2 linked regions of the Schizosaccharomyces pombe genome follow. The main gene of each other region encodes a partner of the protein of the gene in region 2 in a complex. Each region holds a gene or a part of one and is shown on either strand. Other genes may lie near its edges.

The links. Proteins that work in one complex are often made in the same cells at the same time.
Region 1: ptf1 (region 2) and mst2 share a complex: the UniProt entries of both Schizosaccharomyces pombe proteins name them as parts of the mst2 complex.

The regions. Positions count from the first base shown.
Region 1 is NC_003424.3:2,364,845-2,368,444, forward strand, and holds the start of mst2 (histone acetyltransferase Mst2), read right to left. Parts: upstream 2,091-3,600; 5' UTR 1,990-2,090; coding exon 1,537-1,989; exon of another isoform or gene 1,421-1,536; coding exon 1,331-1,420; exon of another isoform or gene 1,284-1,330; coding exon 603-1,283; 3' UTR 551-602; coding exon of another isoform or gene 1-550. Other genes in the region: exocyst complex subunit Sec3, read left to right, coding at 1-550; protein kinase C (PKC)-like Pck1, read right to left, coding at 2,561-2,652, 2,698-2,881, 2,923-3,111, 3,156-3,357, 3,413-3,600. UniProt on the Schizosaccharomyces pombe protein: Component of the mst2 complex which is a highly specific H3 lysine 14 (H3K14) acetyltransferase that functions together with gcn5 to regulate global levels of H3K14 acetylation (H3K14ac), critical for DNA damage checkpoint activation.
Region 2 is NC_003424.3:2,604,005-2,607,969, reverse strand, and holds ptf1 (phosphoric monoester hydrolase), read right to left. Parts: upstream 1,819-3,965; 5' UTR 1,786-1,818; coding exon 1,743-1,785; exon of another isoform or gene 1,692-1,742; coding exon 1,653-1,691; intron 1,597-1,652; exon of another isoform or gene 1,430-1,596; coding exon 1,357-1,429; exon of another isoform or gene 1,316-1,356; coding exon 781-1,315; 3' UTR 556-780; downstream 1-555. Other genes in the region: protein She9, read left to right, coding at 2,758-3,711. UniProt on the Schizosaccharomyces pombe protein: Component of the mst2 complex which is a highly specific H3 lysine 14 (H3K14) acetyltransferase that functions together with gcn5 to regulate global levels of H3K14 acetylation (H3K14ac), critical for DNA damage checkpoint activation.

The sequences.
Region 1 (3,600 bases), 240 kb from region 2:
TCCTAAATTACCTCCAAAGCACCCGTCCCGTCAGCCAACTGTTCGGGCAACTCCTTCGACTGGTAAACAAATCGAACCACCAAACGACGAGCCTTCTATAGGAAATGAACTTCTTCCCCTTTTTGAAAGTTTGCGCTTTGAAAATAGAAAAACCACTTCCAAGCCAAAAGCCAAGAAAACTCTTGTTACTTCCATTCCGACTAAACCGCACCAAGCTTCTGTTGAAAAAGTTTACGATCTTAACTCAAAAATCAACCTCAAAAACATTCCGGAGCAAAGCATTTCTCGTCTTTCCACTTTGAAGTGGAATGAAGGTACAACTATAAAAGATGTATTGAAACAAACAGAATTTTCGTTTGATGGAGCTATCATAAGCAGTGTGGAAAACCTTGCTGAAGAAGAAATCGAATTGCAAAACATTAAGAGCCAACTTCAAGATTGTGCTTTAGGTTGTGAGTCTATCAATTCAACCATCAACTTATTTTCCCTAGAGTTGTCTACTGCATTAAATGGCGTCATTAATATAGAGCAACAACCAAGCCGTAGATGATACAAATGCTTCACGACAAATATCGAAAGATTAAAATACTTATTTATTTGAACTAAACGGAATCCAGATGATGAGAGTTATCTAATAGACGCTTTTGAGGTAGAGGAATAAGTATATTTTCTTTAAGTAAAAGGTTAGATATCTGCTCTTCTCCGAGATATGGCGTCCATCTTAGAAGTTTTGGATTTACTCTTTGAGGGTGTTTGATATTCCAAGCTTTATAAACATTCTCAAGTTCATCCCGTTTCAGTTGTAATACATATTTCTTTTTGAGCGGATCATACTTAAATACAGATAACGATTCCAATGTGGATATAACATCGTCGCATACCATAGATGTTGATTTGGCGATAGCATTTATGCTAATCGGTGTTGTGATTTCCAATAGAGCTTTGGCTACTCTCATTTTCCAATAGCTTCGGTACGTAACGAGGCCTAAATCTGAAAGTGGCTTTTCAGGTGATCCAAGCTTACCTTCTACCTGTGTAAGTAAATAACTAAAATCAATCAAAAAGACACCATATCCTCGGCGTTGGTAAATGGGTAATGTTAATATACAGGAAACGTTATAATCAGAAGCCGAGCGTTTCTCTTTACTGAAATATCCAATAACTTTGCATTCTTGGCCATCAAATTCAGTCAATACATAGAAAAGAAACGGTTCAACGTCATAGTACAGCATTTTTGAATGAAGAAACATCTTTGCTAGAAGACATAAATTTTGACAATATATCTAAGGAAAAACATCAATAAGTATAAAATGCATAAAAAATTACTTACCGGTTGCCGTTGACCATCAACTTCAAAAATTGATATATTCTTATCCCGATATATTTCATCTCCTGGTGGATAACTCCATGAGCATTTCATCTGATTATGTTAGTCCGTAAATTCAATTTGGATAGATTATGATCTTTTAATGTACACCTCGTTTAAACTCAAGCAATAGCGAATAACATTATGATCTTACTTGAAAAGTTGTTTACCTTGTGCCTTTGTAGTACATGATCACTGTTCATATACTTTAAACAAGATTCGCATATATATAAATTTTTTGCACAGCTATACTCCTCTGGATACGGTGATGTATACCATGGTTTTATCCGGTAAGTACCAAAATAGAGGTATCGAATGGAGGTTGGTTGTGGTGGAGGCGTTCGCAACTGTGTAGATAAAATAGGATCGGAAAATGAATAAGCCACATCCTTTGTCCTATCTGCTACTGTCTTTGCTTTTTCAAACAGCCTCACATCGTCTTGGTTGAGTCTCGTAATCGATGTGTCAGCTTGCCCTTTAGTTAATAGACCCAAAAAAGTACTTTCCGAATTTAACTCTAATAAATGTTTCTTATAAAATGGATATCTGGAGGAGTTTGTATCAAACTTTATTATTAACAAAGTCTTTGAACTGGCTGTGGATTTCAAAATAGTCGCCGGCATTATACATAAAAAAAAAAGATTGTTTATATTTACAGATCGTTCATAGTTTTCCTAATGGCCCCATTTAATCCTTTGGTCAATATAATTGAGTTGGTGGTAGTGCCCTCATTCTCTTCTTAGTTCTTGCTTTACTTCCACCTCCATCCGATCTCTGCAAAGATAACCCTTTCACTCTTGTTAAATAAAAAACTACTCATATTTTTTACTTTTGTATTCTGAAACAGTAACCATTCATAACTTCACTGTTAGCTTTTTGATTGAATGCCATTACAAACGTTGCGTATAAATACTACAAAGTCACCTTGGGTGATTCAACGATAAGTTTTACATTAGTAGTTTTAATGCCACTTTAATTATTCTCTAATTTCGACTTTATTTTCAAGTAATGTAATGATGATAAATGCAGAAATTTTTTAAATATGAACACGTAGAAAAGTAAAAAAAATATCATGTAAAGGGTGAGTACACTAAATTAAGTGTAAGAATGCAAAGGAAGCAGCATCAGAACTATATGAAATTGTTACCATAATTTTCTAATTTTAAAAAAGCAGAAGCAAAGGACAAGCTAATTCTATTCAGTAGCAAAACTGGAAAATCCTCTGAAACACTCTTGTTGTTGTCGTGTGAGAACAGTATTGACAGGTGTCAAAGTTGGACATGCACCTAATCGATCGTTAGTAATTAACCATATTTTAACAATTGTCATACTTGTAAATTCTTCATCAAAATTATTGAGGTCTCGGGGATCGTTGATAAGCGGTTTATATGATGGTTCATAAAGTTTGTTATACAAGTCATCCCAGACAATACTAGCAAAGAAAGGATGAGCCATAACCTCGTTTGCGTCTTTTGGTCCACTACCAAGTCGTTGATTTGGATCTCTTGTTAAAAGCTATTTTTTGAATTAGTTAACATATTTAGAAATTTGCATACCCCTCTCAATAACGAAACCGCATCCGCTGGCATATTAATCGGAAACAACGGTTCATCGCTTAAAATCGCATCGAATATTTCCTCTTCATCTTCACCTTTGAAAGGGGATTGACCCAGTAACATTTGATACATCAAAACGCCAAAAGCCCACCAATCAACATCCTTGGAATATTGCTGTTCTAATAAAATCTATTTTCGTTAGATAAAATAAACCAAAACAAGTTCCGCCTTACTTCTGGAGCCATGAATTCGGGGGTACCACAAAAGGTGGAAGTTGTATTGCCAAGCAACATATTTTCTTTGCAGAGTCCATAATCAGCAATTCGTATATGACCATCAGGACAAAGTAGAATATTATCCAATTTCAAATCACGGTAAGCAATTCCATTCTCATGAAAATACTTCAATGCTAAACAAACCTCAGCACCATAAAATCTATGGGGTTAATAAAAAATAAAAATAAAAATAAAAATAAAGATTGAAGTACTACCTTGCACGTTTCACGCTAAACTGTTGACGTTGAATATGAACCATAAGGTCACCACCAAGAATATATTCCATAACGAAGTAAACCCTGGTACTAGTTTGAAAGCTTGCAAAAAGATTCAGCAAGAACGGATGTTTTTCTTTATTCGCGACTTCGAAAACATGCTTTTCAGTTTTTAAACTCTCTAGTTC
Region 2 (3,965 bases):
TTCCCACTTACGAATTCACTGGATGACGGGGGTATTGTAAGCTTATTCACTTTCTTGACAAAATAATGGTGTCTGAGGTACGTTTACTGTACATATACTGTATTTTATTATTTATTCGTTCGTATGTGGGAAAGAGAAATATTATGTTTTACAGACACGGTGGGGAGTTAGGTGAAGAAAGAAAATGATGCGAGTACGGGAAAATTTGTATGAAGGTTGAAAGGTATGGTAGTAGACAGGATACATAAAGTCACAATATTTCATGTTTTAAATTTTATTTCAATTTATTAATAACCAAAATATTACAGACATGGATTTCGTAATAGCAATTTTTTCTGCAAGCCCCTTAAAACATCATTACAAGTTTCCTGACTTTGAGTAACTTTACCAAACCAAAATATAACAATATGCGTGATCTACATTATGTTATACTCGCTACCTTATTTCGGCGATCTCACGACCAAAAGACGCAAAATTTAATATCTCTTTATTTTCTTTCTTAAAAAAAATAAAGAGATATTGTAGCAATGCGACCACTTACGGACTGATATGATATAGGATTTTTCATACAAGACTCGCAAATGGATGAGTATATAAATACAAATTATGTTAAATCATTGCTTCTAACAACCCAAACTAATCGAACCGTTGGTGAATGATGCATTTAAATTGCTATGAGGACCTGCTTGAAACTAAGTTTCGAGGCGCTGATAACAAATATCTATCAACTTTAGGTATAAAAATGTTGAAGTACGAAAACTTCTTAGGTATTATTCAGATTTAACTGCTAAAGAATAATTTTTGCAAATCTTTATGGATATCAGCAAAGGTTTCGAATTCAGAGAAAGAAATTTTCTCCCTTTCACAATATTTAATTAAATCACGTCCTTTCTTGGCAAACAAGTGTTCTGTTTCCTTCGCAGCACTCAAATCGGAAACACCATCTCCGCAATAGACCATGTGAGGACGTTTACTTTCTGGCAATTGAGCATACGGACGGATAGTAAGGCTTTTGTCGTGTCCAAAATGACTGTCATCATGATACACAATGTTCCATTGACCATCAGGATGCACATTGATGTCATTAGAAACAATTTCAATACTACTTGCTTCTTCTTTGCCAAGGTATTGCTCAAAAAGTGCACGAATAAAAGGCTCCATACCACTTGAAAGGATGATTACACGAATGTCTTGAGACTTACACCATTCATAGAATGGTTTAAATGATGGATCAATGGCGACATTCTTCTTGAGAACCTCCAAAGCTTCATCATAGCTTAAATGCACTGAATCCAACATCTTCGCGAAAGCATCACTATGAATTGTTAAGAGTTGATTTACGCGTCAAACGCTTACCGAAAAGAAATGGAACCGTCAAGAACTTGTTGATTTAGATTCACACGGTTGGCGTTGCCCATTCCAAAGTTGTCTAAAACATAGTTAGTAAACCGTCGCCGTCGAGTGTTGCAGTAATAAAGCATTCAAGGTGGGCAGGGAAATTTTTGACCCAATGTTATAAAATCATAGATTTCTCTTACAGATTTTCGTAAATCTTCAATAAATATTCAGTTAAGCTTAATTGTAAGAACATTTTCTAACTACCTTTATACATCTTTTTATATCTGTAACAATCTTCCTATTCCCAACCTTACCAGTTAAGTAGTCATTGGAATCCTGGAGTGTAATAGTTCCTAGACCCCAAAAGTTAGTTGTCTGTTTTTATTGAAATTATTTTTTCATACCGTCAAAGTCACTGAATACGTATAACTGCTTTTTCTGAGCCATAGTCCAAATCTTTTTGAATTGCTGAAATTGCTTGCTTTGTACAGCTATCCAACTCTAGGATTTAAAGTAACGAAACTTACCAGCACTGATATAAAGTTTGTTGTTTATTCCGTGATTAGCAAGCAGTCGTTTGTTCGAGTCATGATAAATGTCATATTTTATCTTTTATATGCAAAAAAATGAAATTCTTAAAGTAATTTACAGTCTTCTTTATTTTAAAGGGCTGCAGATTAAAAATCGAAATTAGTGTAGAGGTTGAATTAACTTAAAGCATATATTTATCAAAGAAAAGAAATGATATTCTATATTTCTGCAAGGGGTAAACGATATCCTCAGTACGTTTTACCATAAATCCTAAGAAAAGTGGCCCAAGCCTTGTAAAGTGAAGTGTAATTTTTTTTTTTTTTGTTTTTTCTTTTTAAATTTCAAATGCTTTTTACATCTACAACATTCTCTCAAGCGTGAGTTTCGCTTATCCTAATGTTAGCTACGCAGTTTCGTATTCGTTTTAATGATACGTAGAACTGCGGTGAGTTTTCCTTGTGACCTATAATATCGCAATACACAGATAATATAAGTAGCAACTGAGTGTAGGTATTGTATTAACAAGGTTATAATGTTACCTATCACTGGTATAGCTTGTAACTGAACTGAGGAACGAGGTTTAGCAGTAGCTCTATTTATAGTATTCAGATGATATAAATATTAATAGATTATCATTAAGATCAGTCTCAATATCGTATCATACATAGTACGATATTTAATTAGGACATGTGACATATAGTGATACGCAACGTAAGTATTATAGCGTATTATAGTATTGCTGATACCTAACTATAAATAGCATATTCTAAGCTGTTTATGAATATTTCCGTAAACCAGCTTTATGGCTGGTGCAGCAGTACATTATGTTTAACTCACTATATGAAGACATGAAAGGATATAACAGTAATGTATAAGTATTAAGAAAGTATGTTGCAACGACTTTCTCAGTCTATTAAGGGATTTGCTGCTCGCTTTCCCAAAATCTATAATAAAGGAAATGGATCAGTTCAACAGACTATACTCCAAGCGAGTCAACGCTTGAATGAATTAACTGGTTATTCCTCCATTGAGGCATTAAAGAACGCGGTTGTAAAGCAGGAGACAAAGCTCCGTGATTTTAGATTATCTGCAGCTGAAGCAAGAAAGCGTTATATTGAAGCGGTTGAAAAAAGATCGTCAAGTCAACGTGAAGTCAACGAATTGTTACAACGACGTAGTAGCTGGTCTACTATTGATTTAGAAAGATTTACTAAACTATACCGTGATGATTATTCAAACAAAGAAGAAGAAATTAAGGCTCAAGAAGATGTGGATGTAGCGGAAAGGCGGGTAGAGGAAGCTCAAAATGGATTGGTGCGTTCGATTTTATCGAGATACCACGAAGAACAAGTTTGGAGTGATAAAATCCGGCAAGCAAGTACCTGGGGTACATGGGGATTAATGGGAATTAACGTTGTTCTTTTTGTGGTCGTTCAACTAATATTGGAACCAAGGAAAAGGAAACGGTTGGTTCGTGAAGCTGTGGATCACATTGACAAGGAACGAGAACTTGAAATAAATGATGAACTGAAAAAGATTTCCGAGAAACTTGATAAAAAAGGTGAAGCTGTCGGCCAAGCATTAGAGCTTACTTCTCCGAAAATTGACAATAAAAACCTTCCCAAAAATTCTGCGTCCTTAATTCTTCCTCCTATTAATTACGATACGTTTCACTCTTTTTTGGATTCGCTAAAATATTTCCTATCTCGCTTTTTGTCTACAGACTACCGCATTCAATTGACTTATCGTCAACTGTCTATTCTGGCGACCAAATTTACGGTAGGCGGTGGAGTTATTATTTACACCTTTATTCACTTGTTTGGTTTAGCATTCAAGCGTTGAATTATTTACATTAACAATCGTTAATTACAAGATTTTATGGTAAAGGTTTTATAGATTACAAGTTTTAAAAAGAGCAGATATTTGCGTTATGAGCAAAGCAGATGTATATCTTCATTTATTCAAACTAAGAAACCTTATCAGAGAATCCAAGTGTAACTACCTAATTCCATTTTGCCAAAAAAAATATTAATGAAATATTCTTAATCATAATTTTGACTTGAGTAACTTATTTCGTACAATAAATAATGCATTAC